Diceros bicornis minor: one gene and its partners. The protein of the gene in region 1 interacts with the protein of each later gene in a biochemical or structural test. Links are inferred from orthologs where the notes say so. Each region holds a gene or a part of one and is shown in the gene's direction. Other genes may lie near its edges.

Region 1 (9,687 bases):
GCAACACATCAAAATTTGTGAAATGCAGGGGCCGGCCTGGTGGCATAGCAGTTAAGTTCACGCGCTCCTGGGTTCGCTGGTTCAGATCCTGGGTGCGGACCTACCCGCTGCTCATCAAGCCATGCTGAGGTGGCATCCCACATTAGAGCAACTAGAAGGATGTACGGCTATGACATACAACTATCTACTGGGGCTTTGGGAAGAAAAAAGGAAAAAAGAAGGAAGATTGGCAATAGATGTTAGCTCAGGGCTCATCTTCCTCAAAAAAAAAATTTGTGAAATGCAGTACACAGAGAAAAATTAATAGCTTTGAAGTTTTCAAGTAGAAAGGAAGAAAGATTTACAACCATTGTAACATTGTACCTTAAGAAGTCAGAAAAAGAAGAGTAAATTACGTCCCACTTAAAAGGTATAGGGAAGAGGTATAGAAAAGTTATAGAAAACTCCATAGCCTAGATAGTCTGCCCGGATTCCAATATCAGCGCTGCCATTTATGAGCCATTAGGCCTTGGGCAAATCTCTTAACTTCTATGTATCTCATTTTCATTATCTGTAAGAGTGAAATTTATACCCATTTCATAGAGTTATTAGAGGAAAAAGCAAGTATAGGAATGGCCTATAGGCAGATGAAAAGGTTCCAACATCAGTCATTAGAGAAATGCAAATTAAAACCACAATGAGATTACTTAAAACCCAAGAGAATGGCTAAAATTAAATGATGGACATCAAATGTTGACAAGAAGGCAGAACAAATAACAGTCATACAGTGCTGTTGGGACTTTAAAATTATATAACCACTTTGGAAAACTCTTTGGTGGTTTCTTATGCTATTACACATACAGTATCCTATGACCCAGTAATTCCATTTCCAAGGTTTTATCCTAGAGAAATGTCAACATATGTCTACAAAAAGAGATGTACAAGACTATTCATAGCAGCTTTATTTATAATAAACCTAAACTGGAAACAACCCAAATGTTCACCAACCTGAGAAAGGAGAAAAAAAATTATAGTATATTCATACCATGGAATACTACTCAGTAATTTAAAAGAATGAACTAATGACACATAAAAAAATGGAAGAATCTCAAAAACATTACATCAAGCTAAAAAGGTCAAACACAAAAAAGTATGTATTTTATTTTTCTATTTACATGACATCCAACAACAGACAAAACTAATCTATGGCGATGGAAATCAGAAAAGTGGTTCCCTATTCGGGTAGAGAGTGACTGGAAGAGAATTTTCTGCGTTGATAGAAGTGTTCTATATCTTTTCTTTTGTGAGGAAGATCAGCCCTGAGCTAACATCCATGCTAATCCTCCTCTATTTGCTGAGGAAGACCGGCTCTGAGCTAACATCTATTGCCAATCCTCCTCCTTTTTTTTTCCCCCCCAAAGCCCCAGTAGATAGTTGTATGTCATAGTTGCACATCCTTCTATTTGCTGTATGTGGGATGCGGCCTCAGCATGGCCAGAGAAGCGGTGCATCGGTGCGCGCCTGGGATCCAACCCAGCTGCCAGTAGCAGAGCGCGCGCACTTAACCGCTAAGCCATGGGGCCGGCCCAGTGTTCTATATCTTAATTGTGGTGTTGTTACACAGGTATATTCATTTGTTAAAACTCATTGAATTGTACACCTGGATGTGTGCATCTCACTGTATGTAAATTTTAACTCACTAAAAAAAAAAAAGACATTTTCCATATGTTCTTAGAATTCATGTTCTAATGAGATAACCAGTCATGAATAAGATAAGTGATATCCCTAAAGTATGAACATCTTGCTTCTGGAATTAAAAGAATAATATAAATATTATAAATCCACCTCAGTGAATAGGTAGAGGAGGATCTCATAAATCGTGTATCATTTGAGTTAGGTCTTGAGGGATGCATAGGAGTTTATCAGGTGAATGGTGGGAGGCCATTCTATGTGGAGAGAATGCATTGTGCAAAGGCATATGAGCTAGTGTCTTTATAGTATGTGAGCTAAAGATGGAAAGGAGGATTTTAGGGACAAATTGTGATGAGTGTTTTGCAGTAAGCTGAGGCATTGGGCTTCCAGGACATAAACCCATAGAGATTTTTAAGCATTGGAGTGATTGATTAGTGTGTCTTTTAGTAGTATATAGGATATCCTGGAATAGGGAGAAATTGATGCCAGTGTCCTGGGCTCTCAATGCTTTTTGAATGAAATTGTCTTGATCATAGCCTCTGCTTAAGTGTGTATTTTTGTTATCTATCGAGTGATAATCAGTCCTGAATGACCCTGGAGATTTTTTCCGGGCTTCCTGGAAATGAGCTACCTGCAACTACTGCTTCCCCATAGTGGCAGCAGCTGAACATGGCCTCGCTTCCAACATGATATCCAAATGCTATCAGCTTGGGGGCCAGCCCCATGGCTTAGCGGTTAAGCGTGCGCGCTCCGCTGCTGGCGGCCTGGGTTGGGATCCCAGGCGCGCACCGACACACCACTACTCCGGCCATGCTGAGGCCGCGTCCCACATACAGCAACCAGAAGGCTGTGCAACTAGGACATACAACTATCTACTGGGGCTTTGGGCGGGGGGGAATAATGCTATCAGCTTGGGAATGCGACTCCGCAAAGCAGCTGGTGCCCGAGCCTAGACTGTTTCTCCCCTACTTACAAGGACACTCTCTTGCTTGCCCTATAAAAAGGAAGAGTGATGTGGGAGTAGGGTTCCACTTTCTGGAGCCCAAAAATGGTGCATCAAGCTAGCCCAAATACACCTCTCTGCAGCATGCTACCACCTTGCTGGTCTGTTTCAGAAGCCTCTTTGCCCAAAAGTCCTTCAAACTTCCCACAGCTGATTGGACCATGGGGTGGCCACCTAACCCAAGGGTAGTCAATCCATACTTTGTTTACTAGCTGAATTTATAGCCTGGAGTAAAAAGATGAGTTGCATCAATGACATTCTTCCTTTTAGGGAGATGAAATAGGAAGTGCCAAAAGGCTAGGCCTTCCAGCAGCAGGAACAGTTGCCGCAAGAGTGTCAAAAAGTAGGGCAAGGGCAGTGTGAGCTCAGGCCATGGATAAGAGAAGCTAAAGGGGAGCTGGAAAGAGGAGGGTGGGCCAATGTGCGGAGAGAGGCGAGACCTCGGGAAAAGGAAAGGGAGAGCGTAGCCGGGCTCCAGGCCTGTCTTAGGTTTTTCAGGGGGAGAGGGGTGGGGAGGCTTCCAAATTAAGTTTCAGATCCCATTAATTATTTCTATTATTCTTTCACTATTCCCCTGGACATTTTCTTTTAAGTTATATGAGTAAATTTTTGTCCCTTGCTCTTTGTAAGCCTTGAGAATGCTATGGTAGCTATGGTTGTGGGCTTCTTGGAAAGCTTTCCTTCACCTTCACATTATAGTAACAGACTCTCATTCCTGGCCATGGGGAAGGAAGGTGGACATGTCTAGCAGGCTTTTGGAAATATGAGGCTAAAACTGGGGTGAAAGTTTGGGCTGGAAAGAGAGATTTTTAAAGTCATCATCATATAGATAAAAACAAATAAGGGAATAATTTTTATAGAGCACTTTCAACATATTTGATACTGTGTTTGGCACATTATATATATTAATACCAGTTAATTCTTACAATAATACATCTAGAGATTATTATCTCTATGGACAGGTAAGGCACCGGAGGCTTAGAGAGTTTAAGTGGCTTACCACGGTCACACGGTGGGTGTAAGTGAGGCTGGGATTCCACCTCCGGAGAGTGGTCAGTCTACAAAGCCCACGCTCCTCCAGCCACGCTGGGCGGCCTCCCAGGCTCCGGGAGGGCACGAAGTCTGTCGTCTAGGAAGATATTCATGGTGAGAGATCAAGGCTTGGACTTCCGGAGCACTCCAACTCTTCAGGAGCTAGGGACAGAAAAGGGTAAGTCAGAGAAGACCCAACTACCATGGCGCTATGGAAGCCAGAGGCAGTGAGCGTTTTGAAAGGCAAAAGGGTGGCCAGTAATCAAATGGGTCAAAAACATCACGGGGATAAGGAGTGAATCGGATTCCGTAATCAGAAGCTCAAGCTCGACCTTGGCGAAAACCGATTCTGCTTGTGCTGAAAGCAGAAGCCAAGTTTTAATGAGCACACAGTTCATGAGAATTGAGGGAATGGGGGTTGTGGATAGACTAAATCGAGCAGGTACTGTCAGCGGAAGGGAGGGAGCCAATAGTGAGGGTGAAGCTCAGAAGTCGGAGTTGGAAGGAGGAGCAGACATGCGGGATTAGCGCTGGATAGAGGAGACGCCTTTTGAAATAGGAAGTAGGGAGGTAAGTAAGGAGTCATAATTGGTCTGAGTCTGTGCATGTGTGAGAAATTGAGCCAATTCGTCTGTTTGAGAAGAGTGAAATCTGTAAGGGTAAAAATAACAAGAGCAGCTGTAGCACATACTAGAAATTCCTAAGTGCTTCACGAGCTAATTTGTTATCCCCATTTTACAGACTGGGAACGCCAGTTCAGTAACTTCATTAAAAATCAAATTGCGGAGGCCAGCTCAAGACCCCGGCAGCTCCAAGCCCAGGCTGCGGGGTGGAGGTCAGCAGCCAGGAACCCGCCGGCGGCGGCCGAGGAGAGGGCTGGAACTACACTTCCCAGTGTGCCCGGCGGGGCGGGGCGGGGAGGGCGCAGGCTCCTTCCCAGAAGCAAAAGCGGAAACAAAAGAGTCTCGCCGGCGTCCCCGCCCGCACAGTCGCGCACACTCGCGCTCGGGCGCACACGGAACAGGCACCGGCGCCCGGAGCGAGCCTGCGGACGGCGAGCCGGGGACCCACCGGGCTGAGCCAGCCGAGCCGCCAGCGAGCCGAGCCCGCGACGACCGCACGCCCCCGAGCCCCGCAGCCGCCCCCGCCGGCCGGTGTCCCTGCCGCCCTCCCTGACCCATGGCGCTGAAGCGGATTCAGAAAGTGAGTGCCGGGGCCAGGCCCGGGGCGGCGGAGCGGGCTTCGGCCCCCTGCCCACGCTGACCCAGGCGGAGGTCCCGAGAGACGCGCCAGGAGGACATGGGATGGGAGGGTGGGCCGGGGCGGGGACCGGGCGCGGGAGACACCGGCCGGGCCAGCGGGCGCCGGACAGGTGAGGCGGGAGCGGGGGCAGGTCCCCGGTGGCTGGAGGTGCTGGGAGGCAGGGGGCCCGCTGCGCGCTCGCGCCCGAAGCCATCGGGTGGAGATCCTCCTCCGTCTCCAGAGCTTCCCGAAATCTGTGCTTCACGGTCACGGCTGGATTTTGCCCTACACCGGGCTAGTTTTGGCCCCCGTCATGCTGTGATTTCTCTTCTGTGTTTCTTAAGCCCATCTTCTTTTATGTTCTTGCTTCTCCGGGCTCCCGGGGAGGGCAAGGAAGGTGTAGTGGGCCTGCAGCCTTTCTCCTCGGAGCTGTTGGGTTTGTTCTTTCTCTCCTCTGCGGTTTGCTCTTGCTCAGATGCCCGAATGGGCTGGAAAAGCTCATTTGGGGCCGAGAAGCCTCCTGCCCCTTCTATTTTGGTGCCTCTGCTGCTGCCACTTCAGGTCACATAGCTGTAGTGAAAACATAGTTGCTGATACACAACAAGATGACCTCCTGGCTGTGATTCATGGTGAGTCAAGCCAAACAGGTTTTTTTCCCCTCATAATAAACTTATATGTGAAGTTCGAGACACAACAGAAACTGCCACGAATTAAATTGTTTGATGCTTTAACACATGGGTATAGAATGAGGAAGAAATGTATACCGTATTCATTCAACAAATATTTGTCCATCCCAAGTACGTGTAAGGAGTTGTCTTCTCTTGCATAGTATTTATTGCTACTGTTTCAAATGTGAACATCTTACAAAATTGGGTTTGGGGCATTTTCGTTCTGTTCACTTTTATTTCTTGTTGGGGTTATTGGTCTGTTCACTGACACAAGTTTTAGGTTCTACAGTTTTAGTTTATGTGGAGAACATTGAGAATTTGTTTTTTAAATGGGGAATGTGTTCAGAAAGTTATGCCAGCAACGGACAGCATGTTTTGGCAAATGATTTCAGAAGAAATCTATGCCTACCGCAAATTTTTATCAACATTTTCAGGCATGAATCAATAGAGCAGTTATAGAGATGTGTACATTGTATTCTCAGTCACCACTGGTGGCATCTTCTGGTACAGAGGACAGCAGCTTTCAGACCCAGCCAGTTTGTTTCTTTCTTTTTTGGTTTTTTTGGTTCCAATACTAAATCTGTGGATCACTGTTAATTTTTTTCTTTTTTGCCAGTTAAGGGTCCACTCACTATAACACATATAGCTAATAATCAGCATTTATGATTAAGGTGTTTTCTGATTTGAAAATAGTGCGACACATTTTTTTCATATAGGTAATCCTAGTTTTGAAGCCCTAGTCAGCATCTTTGCCGTGCCTTGTATACTTATTAATGATGATGTAATACTGGCTCACACTTGAATTAAACAACACAGATTTTCCAAGGAAGTTTTAAAATTCCATTTCTTTCTTTCCAGTTGTGACAATTTTTCACAAGACTTTGCCCATAAAATAACTTTTAAATAGTGTAGACTTTGTCCACAGTAAGTAGACATTCAAAGAAAATGGACACTATTTGTATATACCATACTGAGCAATTGTCAATCACCATGCTGAGTCAATGTATTTGGCTTATATTTATATTTATATTTATATTCATAATATGGCATGCTTAAACCATATTTTTAGTAGCTATTAGTTATTATTAATTTATAACAGAGTTGTCTGATAAAAAAAATCATTTACATAGAATCGATGTCAGACCTGTAACAAATTGATACTTGTGAGAAGAAACTGGGGATCACATAACATAATGTCTCTGTGTGTCAGTCTTTGTCTTTTCTGTTATCAGAAAAATTGCAGAAATCTTCTTTCCATTAATCACATGTTCAAACCATTCCCTCAAACTTTAAAGAGGGTATTATTTTGTTTGATTCCCCACTTTTCCTCCTCCTTTACCCACCTCCTTGATTAGAATCCAGTTCCAGGTGAGGTGTGCTGTTTGCCATATGAATAGTTTCAAAGCCCTCTTTGATATCATCAGTATACAAATTCTTATTTGAGGCTTGCATGTTCTAACAAAAGAAAATGCATATTAACTTTTGGCCTGCCTTTTTAAGTGTGTTAACACTGTCAGATACCTTCCAGGTCATTGGGTTGTGATTTTCCTGTACCTAAAGTGCCAGACTTTAGAGCTGTGTGGCACCTCAAAGAACTCTGCAGTAGTGGAGTAGAGGGCAGGGGCAGGGTAGTGTATCAGAATCCCCTGTGGGACATTTTCAAACTGTCCCCATAGCTGTAAAGGGAGAGATGTTGGATCTCTCAGATGGGCTGAAGTGGAAAGAAAGTTGAGACCACTGATGTTCTAGTTTACTCTCCTTATTATTCAAAGAAGGAATCTGAGGCCTGGAGTGGAGGAATGCTTTGTCCAAGTTAATCTCTTAAGAAATGATTTGGCATAGTTGAGAATGTTAAAAAAAGTTCATGACTTCACATTTCTTCACTTCATATGAAAAGATTAAAGATGATTGAGTTAAAATTATGTATAATGTGTATACAAAGTATGTGGATATCAACGCTTAAAATATATTTTTATACTAGAGTATGTTAAATGATTTAATACTCTAATTTAGACATCCAGTGCCAGTTTTGCATTTCAGCTCATAAATTTACACACCCATGCCCTATTTTTAGATACAGTGGAAGATGTTATCACAGTTAGCTAAATCACTAAAGAAAGGTAAAAAGTTTGAACAAAGTCTGAGGAAATATACCTAAAACACGTCTGAAAAAAGAGGGCAGTTTTTTACCTAGGCATTTATTATCTGCTAGAATTAATTTCTGAGTGTTTTTTCTATCAATACTATTTTTGGTCCTCGATAAACCTGTTTGGGAAATCAGTTTTAAAATTATGAATGTTTTATCACAATACTGAATGTTTTGAAAATCAGAAGGGAAAAAAAGAAAATCCTAATACAGTATTATCATCATCTTAGTATATTTCCTTCTAGATTTTTTTATTTGATAAATTGAAGTAATGGTCATACTAACATGATGTGATATGATAGGCTTGTTGCCTTTTTGGTCTATCTTTTGAAAAGTGAAACAGAAGAGTTGTGTTTTGCAAATATAGCAACACAGATAAGTATTCCTTAGTGTACAGCTCTGTCCACAAAACGGAATATATTTTTTTAAATAATTTAACTTAAAATGTATATATAAACATAGATTAAAATATAACTTTTTAAATGTTTTGAGCTGCTGGATTTTTTGATTTGTACAATTAAACTGTTTATGTCAGTCTAGAAAAACCTTGGGATACTTAAAAACAACCCAGCTCTCTGTGGATGGAGCATCAACTGGGAGAAGATCCGGTTTCTATTCTTGGCTCTGTGACTTACCAGCTTGTTTCCCTGTCCATACGATGATGCTGCTGATATGTACAACCAGCGTGTACAATATATAATGGTTACTCTCTGCTAGGCACTGTTCTAAGTGCTTGACGTATGTTAATTGATTTAATCCTTAGTGGACCCAAGAGATAGAAATGATTATTATCCCCATTTTACAGATGATGAAACTGAGGCACAGAGATGTTGAGTAATGTGCTCAGAATCACATATCTAGTAAGCGGCAGTGCTAGGATCCCAAACCAGACAGTTGTCTCCAGATTCCATGCTCTTAACCATTTCAGTACATAGCTTCTCTTATCCAGATGGACTCACCTCTTATATCTATTGTACTTAAATTGAAGGACATATAGAATCAAGTGAGTTTATGGATGTAAGTGCTTTGCAAACTGGAATGTTCTGTACAAATATAAAGTGGTGTTATAATTAAGACCTTGGCATATTTAATCATTTTTACTGACACATCACTCAGTGTGTTGATTATGCATTGTAAATCTCTGCTCTCAAGTAATGTACACTGGATCATTTAACATGGTGAATGAATAATATAACTTTGTTCATCTTTGTTACATCACTTAAAATTCTTTTCCTCCAAAAGGATTTAGAAAAATTGATTGTATTTCATTAACATTCTGTCAAAAGTATCATTTCATTACGGAGTTTTCATTTGTGAAACCTGTTTATGAATCCTTATAGCTGTTTAGTTCCTGTAGTGATTTTGAATAGTAGTCAACTGTTTGGATTGGACAGATATGTTAGAAAGACTTTCAGATTACAAAAATCTAAGACTCCAGGTTCTTTGAATAAAGAAGGATATAACTTTTTTAAAAATTTAAAAAAAGGAGGAACATAGTATTTATGCTTCTTGGTAGGTAAATACATAGTATTTATGCTTCTTGGTAGGTAAATGGTTTGCTTTGAAATGAAAGGAAGAAAGTGTTCTTTTTCTAAAAAGCCACCATGTGAATTTTTCTGCTTTAAATCTTTGTAATTAAGCTCAGTCTTCCTTTTGCCCCCAGTATCATGTATTTTTCTTTCTTCATAACAACAAAAGTATAAAAAGATTAGATAATCTGTTATAGTTAAAAAGTTCTGAGGTTCCTTCTCTGTGGAAATAAATGGCATAGATCTAAATAAGGCTGTTTATGTCTATTTTAGGAAGCCAGGCACATATATAAACCAAACCTAGCAGGATGTGGAATTGCCTCCAGTAAAGCAGAATAACATCCTTACTTGCTTTAGTTTCCTGAAATACAGGTAGAAAACATATTTAATGAGTGC
Region 2 (9,687 bases), on another chromosome or scaffold:
CTCTTCTATAGCAGTTCTCCTCTAAGACTTTGCTCTCACGTCAGCCAGAAGTGTGGTCCCAACCCCTTCCCGGCCAACCTAATTGCTACTATGCACAGGTCTCTCCGCCCCCAGGCTGGGCCAGGTGCTCCAAGTTACCCTGCAACCGTCTATTGCTACACTCCCAGGTCCCCAGCTGCTCCTGTGTCATCTTCCCTTCTGGACTTGGAACTCCTTAAGGACAAGGTCCAGGCTCCAAGTGTCTCAAAGTGGCCACTACGGCCCAGGCCAGCATGTGCACGGAGGGGGTAAGCAGAGACGCAGAGGTGGAAGGGCCCAGCAGGGATGCCAGGCTGCGAGGCTCCACCTCTTCTACTGACGAGGCCCTGGCCAGGGGGCAGCTCCCACCTGCTGCCTGCCTGTCCCTTGGCCTGGCTTGAAGCCTCTGGGCCTCCCGCTGCCCAGCCCTCCTTCCAGCCGACCTTCCCATGCCCTTTTATGCCCCAAGAGGTTTTTAGACTCCTTGAGAGCAGGCCCTGGGAATCACACACCTCCTTCTAAAGAAACAGGTAAGGCAGCCTGGGGCCCAGATCAAGTCTCTAACACCCTCGCTTTCCTCAAGCCTCCAGGCTGTGGGGCCCTGCCCCTCCGCTCCTACAGGTCAGCCTTCCCCTCAGAGCCTCTTTAGCCCCTCCCTCTTCAGGCTGCAGAAGCAGCCACCAGACCCCAGAGGCTTTTGCCGGGATTACATGAGATGACCTGTGCGTCTGTCTGAAGCAGCACACAGGGCGTGGAGTCTTGGTTTTCCTCACCCTGTCAGCTGCTGCAACAAGACTCATTTACACAGCATTTGCATAAAAGCAGCGGGTGCTTGTTCTTTAATAATTTTTCTTAAAAACTCCAGTTCCTGTTCTTCAGGGGCATCTGCTTCTTTGTCCAGTCTCCTCCCCCTCCTGCCCCCACAACTCTCCAGATCTGGGGTGGTATTATCAATCCAATTTATTGATTATGTCCTCAGTGAGGTGGAGGAAGGGCCACGTCCACCCACTGCAGACCCTCTGACCATCTTGACAGCTTCTGCTCTCTCCTGTCCCCTCAGCTCTGCCTCAGTTTCCCCACTGAGAAGGGGGGATCTTCTGCTGTCCTATGTGTCCTCAAACTAAAACCCAAGAGGAGGCCAGAAATCCTCAGGGAGTTTCCCAACTCCCCCCAAGGCACCGGCAGAGACAGAGAGGTCATGAGGATCAGGACAAGCTGGAGCAGGGGTAGGACAGACCAAAGTCCTCTACCGCAGAGGAGAGAACCACACTGTGGAGGGAAAATAAATAGAGGGGCCCAGGGCAGCAGAGTCCAGGCCCCCCGGGGGTGCACTGACTGTAGGAGCAGCGAGCGAGGGGGAGCCCCGGCACACTGGCTCCAGGCCCCTCGCCCGCCTCAGCCACTGAGGAAGAGACGCTTGTAAGCTTTGTTCATCTGCTCCAAGAAGATGAAGGTGAGGACGGTGTGGGGGCCCAGGCGGGCATAGTATGGTGTAAAGCCCTTCCACAGGCTGAAGAAGCCCTCGTAGCGGACGACCTTCACCAGCACATCCTAGACAGGCAAGCAGAGCGCAGAGGCTAGGACCTGGCCTCTGGGGCCCTGTCCCTCTTACCCAGCCACTCTCACTGCCCTCCCAGGGCATCCAATCCTCCAGCCCAAGCCCCCAGCCCTGCCTCCTCACCAGTCCGTTCTTGTATTCTGGCTTCCCATCAATCATTCGCATGTTCTGGATCCTGAAGGAGAGGAGGTAGGGGCATGAGAGACACAAAGGGGGCCCTCCTATCCCTCTCCAGGCCCAGGCCTGCATACTCACCGGGTCTTGGCAATGTCCACGGGCATGGAGGCGGCAGTAGTGACCAGGCCGCTGATCATGCTGGCACAGAAGTGGCACAGGATGTTGTCAGAGAAGTAGCCTGGGGGAGGTGGAGCAGGGGTGGCAGTCAGCTCGGAGCTGGCCCAGGCCAGGCGGGGAGCTGGGGGCCCAGCTCTGGATCTCACCTGAGTCCAGTAAGAACTGTTTGGATTGGGAGTAGGAGGCGAGCTGAGCAGCATTGACAACGACAGCCCGAGCCATGGTAGGGATACAGCCCTGGGGTGGGAGAGTGGGAGAAAAGTCAGAAATGCCCGAGACCTGACTCCATGTCCCCCAAGTCTCCAGCCCCTTCACTCACCCTCCATAGTGTGAGAACCCCCTCCTCCCGGACAATTCGAACCAGGGCATTAAACACGTTTTTGTAGCCACGGCGCTGGTCGGGTGGAAGCCTGGTGAGAAGGCAGGGAGAGGCCAAGCTCAGGATTGACCACCCTGCCCCACAGGAACAAAGAAAGGGAGGCCAGAACAAGTGAATGCTCTGCTCTAGATCTAGGATACGACATCAGTTCTTTCATTCTAGATTCCAGGGACCTGGTCTGAGGGCTGGCTCAGACCTGGAACTCACCGGCCATCGGCAGTCATGCGGATAAGAGCCACCTCAGCTGGTGTTCCTACAAAGGCACCAGTTGCACCTGCAGTCATACCAATCACGGCCTTCAGCAGAAACCCCGGGGGTGTACCATCAGCCCCAGTCAGGCGCTCAAATAGCACGGTATAGATGCCAAGGCGAGTAGTGGTGTAGGTGGCCTGGCGCAGCAGGCCAGCTGACAGCCTGGGGAGTGAAGGGGTCAGTGCATCAGGCCAAGGTCTGGAGCTGCCAACCACACCCTACCCTTCATCCTGTGATAATGGCCCCAATACCCAGTGTAAATGCCCCTCAGCCCTTCTGCCTTCAGGATGCTGGTGAGGGCATGGATGCTGGTTTTATACTCTCGTGTCTTGGCTCCTTCCCCACTCAGCTGCATCCGGTTCTTCACCAGGTCCAGGGGCTGCACAAAAACTGTAGCTCCCATCCTGGAGGAAGACAGGGGTGGAGTCAACGGCCAGGTGTCCCTGATCTACCAATGCCCAACGGAGCCTGGCAACTAGGGGTCACAAAGGGCAGGGCCTGCCATGCGACTGACTAAGTATTCAGGAGGCTGGTGGGCATGTGTATAACTCTCTGCATGTACCAGGAGCAATGGGTCTGAAAAATCCAGGGATCCAGTAGAGGCCATGCAATGAAAGCGCTCCATGCAGCTCCAAGGAGGTCAAGCAGTGACCTGGGACTGCATGCAGTCTGACCCAGGAAGGAGAGGTGGGCACTCATGACCTGAGACTCCACGTCGTCCGGCAGGAGCCCCACGCAATGACCTGGAACTCCACAGAGCCCGGCAGAGCCAAGCAATGGTTTGGGAAATTCAGGTGGCCCGACAGGGACTATGCAATGACCCTGCATGCAGCCCAGTAGGGGCCCTGCAATGGGTGAAAAGATCCTGGCAGCCCATCAAGGACCTTGCAATACCCTGGGGACCGCGCTGACCCCATGCCGGCTCGGTTCACTGCAACAGACCCAAAGATGAACTGGGCCCGGTTCCTTGCACCCGTCCCTTCATCCTCCTTTCCCATCCCTGGGGCCTGAGCTTACCCGGCCAGACCCCCAAACAGGAACTTGACGGACTTAGGCGAGGTACGGGCCTTCGCGTCCATCCCGCCAGCAGCGGGACTCGCCGTCGCCGCCATCGCCACTCAATGGCCCCCGGCGCCGAGTCCCGTGCGCGCGCGGCCACGCTCGCGCCCAAGGTGACACCGCGCGCGCAACAGGAGGGAGGGCGCGCGCGCGCACGCCCCTCAAGCTCTCAGGACCAGCACAAACTGGAAGCTGGCGCAGGCGCGCAGCGCAAAGGCGGCCGGGAGTAAGGCGGAGCTGAAGGAGGAGCTTCAAGGACGGGTGCGGGAAGGGGTGTGGCTGATTTAGAAAGCCAGAGTATAGACGCAGTTTCTACCGAATTGGAATCGCGGGAAAACAGAGAGGAGGTTATTTGAAGATCTCGCGAGAACTGTGAGCTACGCTAGCCAGAGTTAGGAGGTCTCTCGCGATAGATACAGCAAGATTTCAGCTGGTGGGAGGGAAGTGTGGTGAGGACTCTCGCGAGATCTGAAGGTACCGCAGCGGCGGCGCCGGGCAGAAGAAGAGGTTTGTAAACTGGGCAGCTGCAGGATCCCGAGCACTAAGGAGGAGAGGACTAGGTCGTCTTCAGGGGCTTCAGTGCTCCTTCCATCTTCACAGGCGCTCCCTCCACCTCTAACCTTTCTTTTAACCGGCCTCTTAGGACCGGAAGTCCTTCTTCGTGAGCGTCCAATGCTGGAAGTGGCCGGACTTTCTTTACCGGAAACCTTTTTCGGGGGATAGGAAGACGGCCCACCTGGCCGGAAGTCCCACCTCCTGGAGCTCCCCCACCCTTCCAGAAGTTTTTCTGTCACCTGTGTTTGCCTCCGTCCCTTTTCCGTTTTATCCCTGTTCCAGAAAAGGGTACATTTAATGTCTCCTTCCCAGCTCCACTAAACGGGTTGGACATCTCACTCCCCGAGTCGGGGTTTCTTCCCCGCTCCCCCATGTAGCTGGGAAGTGGGACCTGGGGGTGGTTGGACCCCTGGGCTCCTGAAGGGGGCGGAGAGGGCGCAGAACTCGCTTCTGCTACTGCTACCAGGACGCGGCCTCCTCAGCTTCTCCCCTGCGGCTGCCATGCACCCTGCGGCCTTCCAGCTTCCTGTGGTTGTGGCCACTGTGCTGTGGGGAGCGGCCCCTATCCGGGGGCTCATTCGAGCGGTGAGTCTGAGCGGCAGATCCGGGAAGGGCGCTGAAGACAGAGGTTGCAGGCTGAAGGGGGACATGGACTCTCTTGTCCGCAGACCTCGGACCACAATGCCAGCATGGACTTTGCAGACCTTCCAGCTCTTTTTGGGGCTGCCTTGAGCCAGGAGGGACTTCAGGTGATTTTCTTCCCATTTTTCTTGTTTCCCCTAAATCCTCCATCCTTCGTAGGGGTTGAGGAGCCTTGCCCTTGGGTGAAGTTGGAAGTAGGAAAAGAGTCCACTTAGCAACTAGGTGCATAAGCACATCCAGTGTGGAATCTAGAGGGAGAAGACCAAGTCTGCCCCTAGAACTCTGAGCCTTATAGGGAGACTGGAAGTGCACTAAGATAAAAGGCAGGGCAAAGTGGTGCTTATCAGTAGAGTCTTTTGAAGCCAGTTATTGGTTTTATAACCTTTGACAAGTTAATTATTTCTCTGAGCCTTGGATGGGTTTCCTGTAAAATGGGATGATAATAGAAATTATCTCAGCGTTGTTATGAAGATTAAATTAGATAAACAATTTTGTAGTACTTGATCACAAAGACTGCCACATAGCAAGAACTCAGTTGGGTCATAGCTGTCAGTATAGTTGTTTGTAAGAGGGGTAATTGGAAAATTAAAGGGAGGTGTTAACAAAATCAAACAGAATAAATTTTAAAGATCTTATTGGCTTTATTCAACGATTCATAAATCGGGCAGCATCTCTTCTGGTAAATAGGAAGGAGCTCCCAAGAACTGTACAAAATGAAAGACTTTGATAGGCAGAAGAGCACCCGAGGGAGTGTAGAGGGAGTTATACTAGCAGAAAGCTGATTGTGGCAGGATCACTTTTCTTTAGGAAAGGGCAGGGGTCTGTCAGGCAGATGACCTCACTAAGGCTGACCAGGTAATTCCAGATTGACTGGTTTAAGATTCTATTTCTGGGGGAGGCTGAAACCGTAATTAAGTTAGGTGTTAAGTCTCTGTTCAGTAACCTGGGGGCTCAGCACAAGTGACTCCATTTTGGGCCTGTTGTCTCTTTTTTAACAGAGGGGAGTATGTTTTGTATGAGTATGTACTGAAGAAGGGAATGTGAAACAGAACTTGAGAGAAAGTGACATGAATGAGTGGAGAATTGAATTACATTCAGTGGGAAACTGGAAGGCAGAAGAATTTGAATTAGCTCTGAGTATGGGGTATAGATTAGCTCATCTGGGACAGGGAGAGGGATATTGGGAAGGTCCGGTAAAGGGAGGGTTTGATGTAATTGTATCTTCACGAGGCTAAGAGAAGAGGTAGACTTCTGACTCAGGTGGGATGCTGAGGCCCCAGGAATGAGAAGGAAGTGAGGAATAGAGGACATGCAGCTGGTGGGAGCCAGTGTGCTTGGTGGGGCCCTGTGGGGAGCAGAACCTAGGGAGGTGAAATCCGACTGTTGTTTGCTTCTCTTCCCTAGGGCTTCCTTGTGGAGGCTCATCCAGCCAATGCCTGCAGCCCCATTTCCCCACCACCCCCAGCCCCGGTCAACGGGTCAGTCTTTATTGCACTGCTTCGAAGATTCGACTGCAACTTTGACCTCAAGGTTGCTGAATGTGGAGCGGGAGCTGGGAAGCTGAGGGTAAAAAAAGCACCAGGAATGGAAGTAAGGCCCATGATGGCTCCTAACCTCCTGCCTTGTCTCCCTAGGTCCTAAATGCTCAGAAGGCTGGGTATGGTGCAGCTGTGGTACACAATGTGAATTCCAATGAACTTCTGAACATGGTGTGGAATAGTGGTAAGGTTGGGGGATCTGGACAGCTGGGTTTTCAGTAGCGCTCAGACTGAGAGATGGTGGGAGGACTGAAAGTGTAGGGAAGAGAAGTCGATCCTTTGGGTGGGATGGGGCAAAAGAGCCAAATGCTAGAGTTACTAAAGGATTGGAGTGGAGGGTTGGGTCCCCATTGTAATGCCCTGATCCTTGCAGAGGAAATCCAGCAGCAGATCTGGATCCCATCTGTGTTTATTGGGGAGAGGAGCTCCGAGTACCTGCGTGCCCTCTTTGTCTACGAGAAGGGGTAGGACATGTCCCTCCTTCTTGCTCTTTCTTCAGCACTTCCATGCTAACCTGGAGCCCAAACCTCAGTGCCCCAACCATTCAGCCTGTGGCCCTTCATACTCTGCCTCTTGACTGTCTTCCCACCTCCTTCCCCACCCATGGGCCTTGTCCAGAGCCAGTTACTTTGTTCCTCTGCCTTTCCTGTCCCTCTGATACTCATCTTCCTTTTCCCAGGGCTCGGGTGCTTCTGGTCCCAGACAATAGCTTCCCCTTGGGCTATTACCTCATCCCTTTCACAGGGATTGTGGGACTGCTGGTTTTGGCCATGGGAGCAGTGATGGTGAGTAGCTCAGGGAGTATGATGGGAAGAGCTGAGGCCTTTAAAGCCACGCTGGATCTGGAGTTGGGAGGTGGGGATGGTTTGTACTGGATTATCCAGTTTTGTTCCCTAAGCCTGATCCATCCACTCCCCCTTCCCCAGATAGTTCGTTGTATCCAGCACCGGAAACGGCTCCAGCGGAATCGACTGACCAAAGAGCAACTGAAACAAATTCCTACACATGACTATCAGAAGGGTGAGGGGGATAGGGGAGAGGAGAGCCTTTCCCACAGCGTACCTGGTTCTAAAGTAGTTTGAGCCAAGGAGATAAGGGGCAAAGAAAGATGATAGGAAGATGCCACCTTTCCTCCTCTTTCTCCCCATACATACAGTGAGGACAGATAGGAATAGAGCAGGAGATGGAAGGCAAAAATGATTAAATGGAATAGTTCGGGGAAGAGATGGAGGCCCAACCTTGTTTATAAAGGGGAAAGTGGAGAGAACAGAAAAATGAAAGGAGTAGGGAGGATTGAGTGTGAGAAAGAAGAAACAGGTAAGGAGGGGCTGGGTCTTCAGGCCCTGGAGCCTCCAGTGCCCAAATAAGGCTATAACAGAAGCCCTGCCCCCCCATTTCCGCTCCTCCCATTCCCTCTCTCTCCGCCCTTACACCTCCCCCCAAAAAAACCACTTCCCTTCTTACCTCTGTTTCTCTTTGCTTGTCCATTCTAACTCCAAATTCCTCATGTTCTACCCTGGCCTTACTCTGCCCCAGGCTTAGCTCTTCCACTGGTTCTGTAGAACCAGGGAAGATAACTTGCAGGGTTTAGCTCTACCACAGGCCTCCTGGAGTGAGTTTTTGTGGGCTCTAGTCCAGGATGGCTCAGTAAAAGGATTCCTTTCATCCTCCCTCAGGAGACCAGTATGATGTCTGTGCCATCTGCCTGGATGAATATGAGGATGGGGACAAGCTGAGGGTGCTCCCCTGTGCTCATGGTGAGGCCCTCCCTTCCTGTGCCCATGCCCCCACTCCACCAGCAGGTACCAGGTGCTTCACCTCATTCTTCTCTGCAGCCTATCACAGCCGCTGTGTGGACCCCTGGCTCACTCAGACCCGGAAGACCTGCCCCATCTGCAAGCAGCCCGTTCATCGGGGTCCTGGGGATGAGGAGGAGGAGGAAGAAACTCAGGAGCAAGAGGGTGATGAGGCAGAGGAGCCAAGGGACCACCCTGCCTCAGAACGGACCCCACTTCTGGGCTCCAGCCCCACACTTCCCACCTCCTTTGGTTCCCTAGCCGCAGCCCCCCTTGTTTTTCCCGGGCCTTCAACAGATCTCCCCTCGCCTTCCTCCTCTTCCTCTTCAGTTGCCATCCTGGTCTAATGCTCCCCTTACCCCTCCACCTCTGCTGACCTGTTTGCACAGCCTCTCCTCTTTCCAGTCTTCTATGCTGAGAGAGGGGACATTTCCGCCCCAGGTTTCTCCCTTACCCAACCCCGTCCTTTTGAGGGGGTTGAGGGTGCAGAGGGACTGGGTCTTCACTTACTGAGTTAATAAAATTGTTTTCGTGGACTAAGGAAGGGTAAGATCCTTCTCAAACAGGTGAATTGCCCTTTTTTGCCATAAAGGGGCAGGGGAGTGCTGGGAGATTAACCTATAGTCATGGGGACAGCCCCAGCAGGCATTTTTTGTGACTCAGAGAGGGGGAGCCCCACCCACACATGAGGATGACTCAACTGGCCCTGCCTTTCCCACAGGCCTGGACCCATTCTCTGGTCTGGATGGTTCTATTCCATTATCCACCAATTCATCTAGCACACTGAGGACCTAGGACTGGAAATGCCACCGTGGAAGGGCTGGGCCACCTGGCCAGGTGGGCCTGAAGCAGGTGGCTCAGACCTGGACATGGAGGCAAGAAGCTCAAATTTCTAGTAGTGCCTCAACCCTCCTGCTGCTAACACCAAGCCAGGATAAAGGAGGCATGTCCCAGTGAGTGTCCTCCATCCTGACGCCCAGGCTAAAACCACACAGCACCTTGTTAGTAGAATCTTTTTTATTCAGAAAAAAAACCCAAAAAACAAAAGTTTTCCAACCACACACAGGAGGGGTATGGGTAGGGGGAGGTGTCTGTCCATCCAGCCCCAGCCCCCAGCCCATGTGGTTTTGGCAGCAATAAGGGGTGTGGGGTAATGGCCCCCAAAATAAAAATGGTGTATGTGTGTATATGGGAAGGGAAGGAAAGGGGTGCAAAAGCAGTGGGGAGTGGTGGGGGGAAGGGACAGACGAGGTCAGTACTGGGAACGCCGCAGGTGGGAGGCCATTTCATAACATTTCTTGTTGATCATACCACCGTGGACACCTTCTTTGCCCATCAGCAGGACTAGCGCTGGAGGAAAGAGAAAGAAGGCTAGGACCCAGGTGTCACAATTCCACCCCCTGCCAGCTGTTCAGCAGCTGTCCAGCCCTGGGGGCTGTAACCCAACCTCGTCTCTCCCAACCCCCCCCCCCACACACACAGGCAGGCTGTCAGTCACTCTGAAACAATAGGGCTTTTCAAAAGGGGAAAATCAAGCTTAAAGGCTGGAAAGGAACACACTAAAATTTAGGAGTCAAAGGCTTGTAGACTGTTGAC
Region 3 (9,687 bases), on another chromosome or scaffold:
GTGTGTTGGTGCGCGCTTGGGATCCGAACCCGGGCTGCCAGCAGCGGAGTGCGCGCACTTAACTGCTAAGCCACGGGGCTGGCCCTTAACTATTTTAAAGTACACAATTCAGTGACATTAAGTACATTCATGTGTTGTGCAACCATCACCACTGTCTAGCTCCTGAATGAAATCTGTGAACACAGAGCAAGAGATTGGAGTGATGTAGCCACAAGACCTCCCCAGGAAGTGGCTCTGGGGGTGACACCTGAAGCTGGATGGAGAGCCAGGTGCAGGTGTGGAGTTTGGGGAAGGAAGAGAGTGAGGGTGCCTGTTTGCAGGCAGGTGCCCCAAAGGGGCAGTAGGCAGGCCTTGGCTGGCCTGGGTGCAGTCTGAGTGACTCCTATGCATTGTTTCACCCCTGGAGCCCTGTCTGCAAAGCCAGAATAGAGACAGTTTCCAGTGGTCCAGGACTGGGAAGGGTAAGATGCTGTAAAGGGTGGGCAAGGAGCACAGAGGATGAGAGTATAAGGTGACACTGACACTGACTACACTCAGTCGGGTCTAGCTGGGGGACAGAGCCAAGATGTACCTGTGTCCTGCCATACACCTCTGGACCTCTGAATAGGCTGGCTCCTAAGAGAGGACCTCTGAGCAAGGGTTCTGCCCTGGCCTTGCCCTCCTGTATGCCCACTCTGGTTCAGCCAGTCCTAGGATGCCCCTTGTGCTTCCCTGAGTCTGCCTGAGCCTGGTTTCCAGTTGATTCTCCTCCCCCATTGCTGTCCTGGCACTTCCAGAAGCCTTGGTTTCCCCATTTGGACAATGGGGCTGGCAGTGGCCAAGCACCTGGTGGTAAGGGGACTCTCCAAGGCCTGCTGCTGGCACCTGGTGACATCCTGCTTGTGTGGCTGCCAAGGACTAGGAAGGAATGTCCTGGGCCCAGAAGGAGAAAGGGGGGACTGTTTAGAGAGAAGAGCATGGGCCTTGGTGGACCATTGAAACCACAGGGCCAGTTGCCAGAGTCTAGTGAAGGGCCTGTAACCAGGGGCAACCAGAGGACCAAACCTATCCCCAGATAGCTGTCTGGCAACTTCTAGGCACCTCCCACTACTCCTCACTTCACTGCTCCCTTTGTGCCTGGTCTGCCTCAGGGCCTTTGTACTTATTGTTTCTGCTTGAACTGTCCTTCCTGCAGGTGTTTGGGAGTAGCCCCAAGGGGAGTCCTCTCCCACACTCTTTACCACCACTTAGTTATTTTGACTGTCTGGTCCCTGACAACCCTGCGTCTGCCTCAGGAGCCAGAGTAAATATGGGTCAGTCCTCCCCACACCTCCTCAGAGATTTTGCGGCCCCGTGCAGGGTGGGGTCGTGGAAAGTGCTCAGCAAATATTACTAACGGACGCCACACCTCACGCTGTGCACTGCCAGCCACCAATTTCCTTCCCAATTATCAGAGGAAGTAAGCAACGGTCCGTGGACAGGGTCTTCGGGAACGATTAAGAGGCAGCGGGCCAGTCAGTGAGGGGGCGTGGCCCGGCGGACCTGCTCCGGTGGCCGCGGAGGCCGGGACTATGCAGCTGAGGGGGCGGAGCGGCGCCCGGATTTGGGGGCCGCGCCAGGGCTGGAACAAAGGCGGGCGCGGAGACAAAGCCCTGCGGACCCCCGGCGGCAACAAAGGCCACACCCAGCCCAGTAGGGCCGGACGCGTCTCCGCCGCCGCCACGTGTGGGCTCCTGGGGAGCTGGGTTGGGGGAGGCTGCGCCCCGCTCTCCCCGCAGCCTGGGCGTGTGCGAGGTCTGGAAAAGTAGAGTCGAGTCCCGGGGCTGGACCCGCCGGCCCTCCAGGCTCTCTGCATCCTCTCAGACCTGTGCCCTCCAGCCTCATCCTGGCCTGGAGACCTCAGGACCGAGGAGCCCTGCACAGGGGGCCAAGGCCCAGCCCAGGGACCAGCTCCGAGGCACCGATCCCTCGAGTTTTCTCCGTGCCTAGTGACCCCAGACAGGATCCCCTCCCAGAGACCCTGCTCCCACCGACTCTGCTCCCACCTTAAATAGGATTCTCCTCACAGACTGCTCCTACCTCAGACAGGATTCCCCCCACATAGACTCGGCTTCCCCTCAGACAAGATCCCCTCCCACAGACTCTGCTCCCACCTCAGAGAGGATTCTCCGTACACAGACTCTGCTTCCTCTCGGACAGGATCCCCTCCCACAGACTCTGCTCCCACCTCAGACAGGATCCCCTCCCACAGACCCTGCTCCCACCAACTCTGCTCCCACCTCAGACAAGATCCCCTCCCACAGACCCTGCTCCCACCAACTCTGCTCCCACCTCAGAGAGGATCCCCTCCCACAGACTCTGCTCCCACCTCAGAGAGGATCCCCTCCCACAGACTCTCCTCCCACCTCAGACAGGATCCCCTCCCACAGACTCTGCTCCCACCTTAGATAGGATTCTCCTCACACAGACTGCTCCTACCTCAGACAGGATTCTCCCCACAGAGACTCTGCTTCCCCTCAGACAGGATCCCCTCCCACAGACTCTGCTTCCCCTCAGATAGGATCCCCTCCCACAGACCCTGCTCCCACCAACTCTGCTCCCACCTCAGACAGGATTCTCCCCACACAGACTCTGCTTCCCCTCAGACAGGATCACCTCCCACAGACTCTGCTGCCACCTCAGACAGGATTCTCCGCACAAAGACTCTGCTCCCACCTTAGATAGGATTCTCCTCACACAGACTGCTCCTACCTCAGACAGGATTCTCTCCACACAGACTCTGCTTCACCTCAGACAGGATCCCCTCCCACGGACCCTGCTCCCACCAACTCTGCTCCCACCTCAGACAGTATTCTCCCCACACAGACTCTGCTTCCCCTCAGACAGGATTCCCACAAAAACGCCATGTTTCTTTCAAATAGGATGTCTCCCACCCCCACAGGCCTGCTCTTCCCCATCTGACAGAATTCTCCGCACTCTGCTTCCTCCCTCAGACAAGACTCACCTGCCCCCATCCTACTCCCCACTGAGGGAGGATTCCCCTCTCTACAGATCCTGCTTCCTCCGACAGGATTCACTCCCCCAGACCCTGCTTTCCTCCTTAGAATTCCCCCACTGTTAGGTTCAGTTTGCCCACCTGGAAAAGCATCAGTCAGCGCAGCGGCTGGCTGAAAGATGGGAAGGGAGCGCTTGGGGGGCCAGGTGACTCGCTGCTCTGTAGTCTCTTGGGATCTGTTTGATTTAGGCAAGTTTCAGTGTTTCTCGTGTTAAACAATAAAAACGTTAAAAGTCAGCCTCCCGGCTCAGAAGAGCACTTCCTCCTCCGACGGGGACCCTCCGCCCATCTTCCTGTGTCCCGCCCCCTCTCCCGAACGCTTGTTGACGCAGCAACCAGAGACTTCTCTGGGCCGGCCAAAGGGGCCGGGATTGAGGTGGAGGCCCAGACTGCTAATACGCATGCGCACTATAGCGGCCTGGAGAAGGGGCTGGCTCGGGAGCACACCCTAGTAACTATGCGCGCGCCCCGCCCGCGGACTAGGTTGCGGCAGTGACGTCACAGATGCCCTGCCTCTGCCGCTTGAGCGGCGCGGTGGTGGTGTAGGCGGAGGTAGGAGGACCCGGCTCAGGCGCATGCGTACTCGCGGCTTCGCCAGCGGCTGCCGACCTGAGCCCCGCCCCCGGGCGCAAGGCGCCTAGCGCGCCTGCGCGGCGGCGTCGGCGCCAGTTATTTCTGTCCCGCCCCCCAACAGCGGCTCTTTCTGCGAGCGGGCGCGAGGGTGAGCAGTTGTGCGAGTGGTGCGTGGCGCTGGTCTTGGCGGCCGCTGAGGAGGAAGCGCGGGCGTCGGCTGCGGGAGGCGAGCAGGCAGTGGGCGGCCAGTACTCGGCAGCGCCCCGCGCGCAGCGGGCGGCGGCCCAGGCGGCGCGTGGCGGCGCTCGGCCTCGCGGCGGCTGAGGCCCAGCCGTTGGCGGCGAGCGCGTCTGCGCCTGCGCGGCGGGACCCGCGCCCCTCCTCCTCCCTGGGCGCCCCCGGCGGCGTGTGAATGGCGGCCTCGGCGGCGGCGGCCTCGGCGGCGGCGGCGGCCGCCTCGGGCAGCCCGGGCCCGGGCGAGGGCTCGGCGGGCGGCGAAAAGCGCGCCGCAGCCTCCTCGGCCTCGGCCTCGGCCTCGGTTTCGGCCTCAGCGTCGTCACCCGCGGGGGGCGGCGGCGAGGCCCTGGAATTACTGGAGCACTGCGGCGTGTGCCGGGAGCGCCTGCGGCCCGAGAGGGAGCCGCGCCTGCTGCCCTGCTTGCACTCGGCCTGCAGCGCCTGCCTCGGGCCCGCGGCGCCCGCCGCCGCCAACAGCTCGGGGGACGGGGGTGCAGCGGGCGATGGCGCCGGTGAGTACGGGCTGGCCCCTCTCCCGACCACGCAGCGTTTTATCCCAACTTGGCGCAGGGATTGGGGGCCTTACCTGCGTGGTGATGGCGGGGGATCGCCCGGGCGGGACGATAGGGACCTGTACAGTGCTTGGCTGGATCGGGCGCTGAGATGGAGCGTCTGGTTCAAGTTTGGTGAAGGGTCTGGTTCAAGTTTGGTGAAGGAAGGGTTTGGCTCCTGCCCCGGGAGGGGAGGGTCTGGCCTGGAATGGAATGGAGATTGGGGCCCTGTGCGGGGATGGTGTTACAGCCTGAATGTGAACGTGCAGTGGTCTTATTCCTTCCTGTTTTTCGCAGTGGTGGACTGTCCTGTGTGTAAGCAGCAATGCTTCTCCAAAGACATTGTGGAGAATTACTTTATGCGCGACAGTGGCAGCAAGGCTGCTTCCGACTCCCAGGATGCGAATCAGGTATCTCTTTCTCCATCAACTTCCAGGAAGCCTCAGGCCATGGGGAGGGGGGCACCAGCCCAGGAGCACGGTACCAACGGGAGATTTTATTCTCCCGACACTACAGCGGTCTGGGTAGGCTGCCTAGGCTAGGTAAAGGCAACACCTTGCTTCAGGTCGTAGTTCCTGGGATGTAAATGAGTATCTGTCTGGTGGTTCTGTCTTCTCTGATTCTGCCTTTGCCTAGCAGTGCTGCACTAGCTGTGAGGATAATGCTCCTGCCACCAGCTACTGTGTGGAGTGCTCTGAGCCATTGTGCGAGACGTGTGTGGAGGCACACCAGCGGGTGAAGTACACCAAGGACCACACCGTGCGCTCCACTGGTATGTAAGGCTGAGGGGGTGGCCCAGACTGTCTTCCTACATATGCCCTTAGTTGCTTATGATGCAGGTTGCAAGTGGCGAATGGGTCCCAGGGAAGTGCTTTAGGGGGTACCAGCTGAAGGGCCTGAGGGCAGAACTCAGAAATGGGGAGGTTGGGGCTCTGGTATGCAGTTTCTGCAGGTCTAGGTGGGCGGGGAAAGGCCACAGACAGGGCTGGGGAGCGCACAAGGGACCTCAGTACACACCCTCAGGGGAATGTACGAGAGTTTGAGGAAGCTCATTGGGATAGGCTCCAGTGGTGTAGGGACAGGCATGTGCAGTCAGGGAAACAAGGCATTTGGGGAAGGTTGTGAGGGGCCTCCTGGATCTGGGGTTCTCTGGCATTTGGTTTAAGGCTCTGTAGGGGAAAGTGAGGCTTCTGGGCTACAGTATGTTGACAAGCTGTGAGGGCCCTTAGACCATCATTGACAGTGAGTCTTAGAAGTATTTTCGCTTTGTATTGTAGGTGTCTTATTCAAAGATCAGGCAAGTATTTTTAGATTTTTTTGTGAATATGTTGGCAGTGGTACATTAAGGGGCTTGGGAGTCTTCTGAGTCTAGCCTGGTTTTTAGTCCAGAACTCCTTGTGAGTGGCATTTTGGTAGTTACACTGTGGTCTGTTCAGTTCAGAGGTAGGAAGATGAGGGTGGAGATGGTGGCTTTGGGGCATGAGGAGCCACGAGGGAAGGGCAGGGGTCTGCAGCGTGTCCTGGGTTCCAGACAAAGTTCAGGGTGCAGGGGGTGCAATATTGGAGGAGCCAAGGCCTGGCTGGTCTATGTTTCAATGTTATGTCTCAAGCCGAGTTGGTGTACCCGGCACATAATTGGGATTGGGGAGGAAAGAAGAGCAGATGTTCCCAAACAGCCTTCTGATGGTGACAGGCTCTGTGTGTGTGTGGGGGGTCAGCATAGTATATTGGCTTCTTGGTGGTATTACTCTGAGCACCAGGACCCTCCCTGTGGAGAGGGTGCCTGATACCTTTCTGAGTGTCCTGGTCTGATGTCTTATCTCTCCCAGCCTGAGAAGGCTTTGCAAGGCCTCCTGTGGGCCTGTGGGTTGTAAGAAGTCAACACTCTTCTCTTAGCAGAGGAGAGGGGAGGTCACCAAGCATTGCTCTTAAGGAAATTGCCTGTCTCTAGGCCCTGATTTGCTCTCTGTCTGTGCCAGAAAGTGAATATTCTGCATGCTGGGTTGCCACAGTAGTCAGAATCCCCTTCTCTTCTGGACAGAACCTGCTGTGAGTGGAGGAGAAAGGGAGCCCACTGGGGGGTTTGGAGGAGGGTCTCTCCTGAGTGTCCACCTGGAGAAGATTCTAGTAGAGGGAACAGTAGAGGGGAGGTTTCTCCTGCCAGAGATCATCATCTTTACATTTTGTGTTGTTACTGCCAGAAGCTGGAAGGAGGGGCAGGCTGGGACAGAGGGTTTTGAGAGCAAGGATCTGGGTTCTCAGGCCTGTGTTTCTCTGGCCACTGCTTCAGGGCCCTCTGGGTTTTCCCAACAGACAGCCCAGGACAGGCAGGAAGTGAGGCCCCAAGCCCTGTCTGCTCCTTGAGTGGCTGAGGGTAAGCTCCAGCCTCATGGTTCCTGTTCCCCAGGGCCTGCCAAGTCAAGGGATGGTGAGCGCACGGTGTACTGCAATGTGCACAAGCATGAGCCCCTCGTGCTGTTCTGCGAGAGCTGCGACACCCTCACCTGCCGGGACTGCCAGCTCAATGCCCACAAGGACCACCAGTGAGTCCTGAGGTAGGGTGGGTCAGTGGGTGGATGCTGTCTGTTCCTATGCACAGTGTGCAGGACTACTTCTGTCTGCTCTCAGATACCAGTTTCTGGAGGACGCAGTGAGGAACCAGCGTAAGCTCCTGGCCTCGCTGGTGAAGCGCCTGGGAGACAAGCATGCGACATTGCAGAAGAACACCAAGGAGGTTCGCAGCTCGTAAGTGGAGATGCCAGGGTCATGGGGTTCCCTGGGTGAGCACCTGCCTGACTAGACCTGACTTGACCAACCCTGCCTCCAGGATTCGCCAAGTATCTGACGTACAGAAGCGTGTGCAGGTGGATGTTAAGATGGCCATTCTGCAGATCATGAAGGAACTGAACAAGCGGGGTCGTGTGCTGGTCAACGATGCCCAGGTACTCCCCATGTGCGAGGGAGGGTTCCTGGGCTCTCTGCTGGCTGCTGATGTCATCCTTGGGTGGGGAGGCGTTCTAGTGCCCTCTTCTCTGGTCAACCTCGTTGCCCTTTCATCCACAGAAGGTAACTGAAGGGCAGCAGGAGCGCCTGGAGCGACAGCACTGGACCATGACCAAGATCCAGAAGCACCAGGAACACATCTTGCGTTTTGCCTCTTGGGCCCTGGAGAGTGACAACAACACAGCCCTGTTGCTCTCCAAGAAGCTGGTGTGTGCTGTGCTGGTGGGCACCCAGGTGGTGGGTTTCAGGGAGGTGCCTCCCAGCACCCTGGATCCCTGTTCGCTGCATTTATACTCAAGCACTGCCCCATCCCCAGATCTACTTTCAGCTGCACCGGGCCCTCAAGATGATCGTGGACCCTGTGGAGCCACATGGCGAGATGAAGTTCCAGTGGGACCTCAACGCCTGGACCAAAAGTGCGGAGGCCTTTGGTGAGTCTTTATCTTTCCCCGTGCTGTACCTTGTCACCATCCCAGGCACTGTGCTTATTATGCTAACTTTATTTTCTTCCTATAGGCAAGATCGTGGCAGAGCGTCCTGGCACCAACTCGACAGGCCCTGCGCCCATGGCCCCTCCGCGGCCTCCAGGGCCCTTGAGCAAGCAGGGATCTGGCAGCAGCCAAGTGAGCAGGGGAGGGGGACTCTGGGGAGGAGAGGGGTGTGGGGTCCCATGGGATGCTTGCCTACTGAGGTTCAACTGTTTTGCCCGCAGCCCATGGAGGTGCAGGAAGGCTATGGCTTTGGGTCAGGTGAGTGGGTCTGCTTGGTAGGTGGGAGAGTTCCAGTGCCCTAGGTCTACCTTAACCTGCTGTCTCTTTTTCTGTCTTGAGCAGATGACCCTTATTCGAGTGCAGAGCCACATGTGTCAGGTGTGAAGCGGTGAGTGTGGCTATCCTTGGGTGGAGCAGGGTAGGCATAGGTATGGGTGCTCATGCCAAGGCGCACCAACAGGTCCCGCTCTGGGGAGGGTGAGGTGAGCGGCCTCATGCGCAAGGTACCACGGGTGAGCCTCGAGCGCCTGGACCTGGACCTCACGGCTGACAGCCAACCACCAGTATTCAAGGTGTTCCCAGGCAGCACCACTGAGGATTACAACCTCATTGTTATTGAGCGCGGTGCTGCAGCTGCTGCTGCTGGACAGCCTGGGACTGCGCCCCCTGGGGCCCCTGGAGCCCCACCCCTGCCTGGCATGGCCATTGTCAAGGTGAGCTTGCCCCAAGTGATCTTGGCTGGGAGATGGATGACATTTGCCGTCCAGGCCTTCACTCTGTTGAACGTCCCTCACCGCCTTGCAGGAGGAAGAGACAGAGGCTGCTATTGGAGCCCCGCCTGCTGCCACTGAGGGCCCAGAGACCAAGCCTGTGCTGATGCCCTTGGCAGAGGGTCCTGGTGCTGAAGGCCCTCGCCTGGCCTCACCCAGTGGCAGTACGAGCTCAGGCCTGGAGGTGGTGGCTCCAGAGGGCACCTCAGCCCCAGCTGGTGGCCCAGGTGCCCTGGATGACAGTGCCACTATCTGCCGTGTCTGCCAGAAGCCAGGCGACCTGGTTATGTGCAACCAATGCGAGTTCTGCTTCCACCTGGATTGCCACCTGCCTGCCCTGCAGGATGTGCCAGGGTGGGAGGCTGTGTGGGGTCTCTGGGGGCTGGAGGGCAGGACCATGTCCTGTGCAGCCCCCTCATTCTCTATTGCTTCCAGGGAGGAGTGGAGCTGCTCACTTTGCCATGTACTACCCGACCTGAAGGAGGAGGATGGCAACCTGAGCCTGGATGGTGGTGACAGCGCCGGTGTGGTGGCTAAGCTCTCGCCAGCCAACCAGCAGGTGAGGGCAGGGGCTCACTCCCTTGGGGGTTGCCCAGTAGTTTTACTCTCCTTGCCTCCATGGTTCTCATGTCTCCCGTAATGTTCATAGAAATGTGAGCGTGTCCTGCTGGCCCTGTTCTGCCATGAGCCCTGCCGGCCCCTGCACCAGCTGGCTACTGACTCCACCTTCTCCCTGGTGAGTCCTGGGACTTGGGAGGAGAGGAGGGGCAGGGGCTGCCTGGTCTCAACTTCAGCCTATGTGGTCTCTGCCTACAGGATCAGCCCGGTGGCACCCTGGATCTGACCCTGATCCGCGCCCGCCTCCAGGAGAAGTTGTCACCGCCCTACAGCTCCCCCCAGGAGTTTGCCCAGGATGTGGGCCGCATGTTCAAGCAGTTCAACAAGCTGACAGAGGTGAGCCTGTGGAGAATGGGCCTGTGGGCAGGGGGAAGGGAGATGGAGGGTAGGAGAGCTAGGACCCACCTACT

Evidence for each region.
Region 2: the proteins of UBE2D1 (region 1) and RNF167 form a complex in vitro, tested with the Homo sapiens proteins (3 studies listed by BioGRID). The link is inferred for Diceros bicornis minor from reciprocal best matches to the Homo sapiens genes UBE2D1 and RNF167.
Region 3: the proteins of UBE2D1 (region 1) and TRIM28 form a complex in vitro, tested with the Homo sapiens proteins (2 studies listed by BioGRID). The link is inferred for Diceros bicornis minor from reciprocal best matches to the Homo sapiens genes UBE2D1 and TRIM28.

What each region holds. Positions count from the first base shown.
Region 1 is NC_080745.1:46,258,851-46,268,537, reverse strand, and holds the start of UBE2D1 (ubiquitin-conjugating enzyme E2 D1), read left to right. Parts: upstream 1-4,713; 5' UTR 4,714-4,885; coding exon 4,886-4,909; intron 4,910-9,687.
Region 2 is NC_080757.1:11,692,980-11,702,666, forward strand, and holds RNF167 (E3 ubiquitin-protein ligase RNF167), read left to right. Parts: upstream 1-3,994; 5' UTR 3,995-4,067; intron 4,068-4,203; 5' UTR 4,204-4,616; coding exon 4,617-4,700; intron 4,701-4,783; coding exon 4,784-4,864; intron 4,865-6,161; coding exon 6,162-6,287; intron 6,288-6,391; coding exon 6,392-6,479; intron 6,480-6,668; coding exon 6,669-6,759; intron 6,760-6,974; coding exon 6,975-7,080; intron 7,081-7,221; coding exon 7,222-7,315; intron 7,316-7,971; coding exon 7,972-8,052; intron 8,053-8,130; coding exon 8,131-8,438; 3' UTR 8,439-8,654; downstream 8,655-9,687. Other genes in the region: SLC25A11 (mitochondrial 2-oxoglutarate/malate carrier protein), read right to left, coding at 1,414-1,569, 1,700-1,751, 1,832-1,931, 2,017-2,107, 2,190-2,280, 2,457-2,663, 2,753-2,905, 3,519-3,613.
Region 3 is NC_080773.1:38,312,760-38,322,446, forward strand, and holds the start of TRIM28 (transcription intermediary factor 1-beta), read left to right. Parts: upstream 1-3,739; 5' UTR 3,740-4,019; coding exon 4,020-4,356; intron 4,357-4,692; coding exon 4,693-4,805; intron 4,806-5,034; coding exon 5,035-5,167; intron 5,168-6,802; coding exon 6,803-6,938; intron 6,939-7,023; coding exon 7,024-7,140; intron 7,141-7,222; coding exon 7,223-7,337; intron 7,338-7,458; coding exon 7,459-7,605; intron 7,606-7,714; coding exon 7,715-7,829; intron 7,830-7,914; coding exon 7,915-8,021; intron 8,022-8,110; coding exon 8,111-8,147; intron 8,148-8,231; coding exon 8,232-8,277; intron 8,278-8,349; coding exon 8,350-8,602; intron 8,603-8,693; coding exon 8,694-9,013; intron 9,014-9,094; coding exon 9,095-9,218; intron 9,219-9,308; coding exon 9,309-9,395; intron 9,396-9,475; coding exon 9,476-9,613; intron 9,614-9,687. Other genes in the region: ZBTB45 (zinc finger and BTB domain-containing protein 45), read right to left, coding at 3,116-3,127. UniProt on the Homo sapiens protein: Nuclear corepressor for KRAB domain-containing zinc finger proteins (KRAB-ZFPs).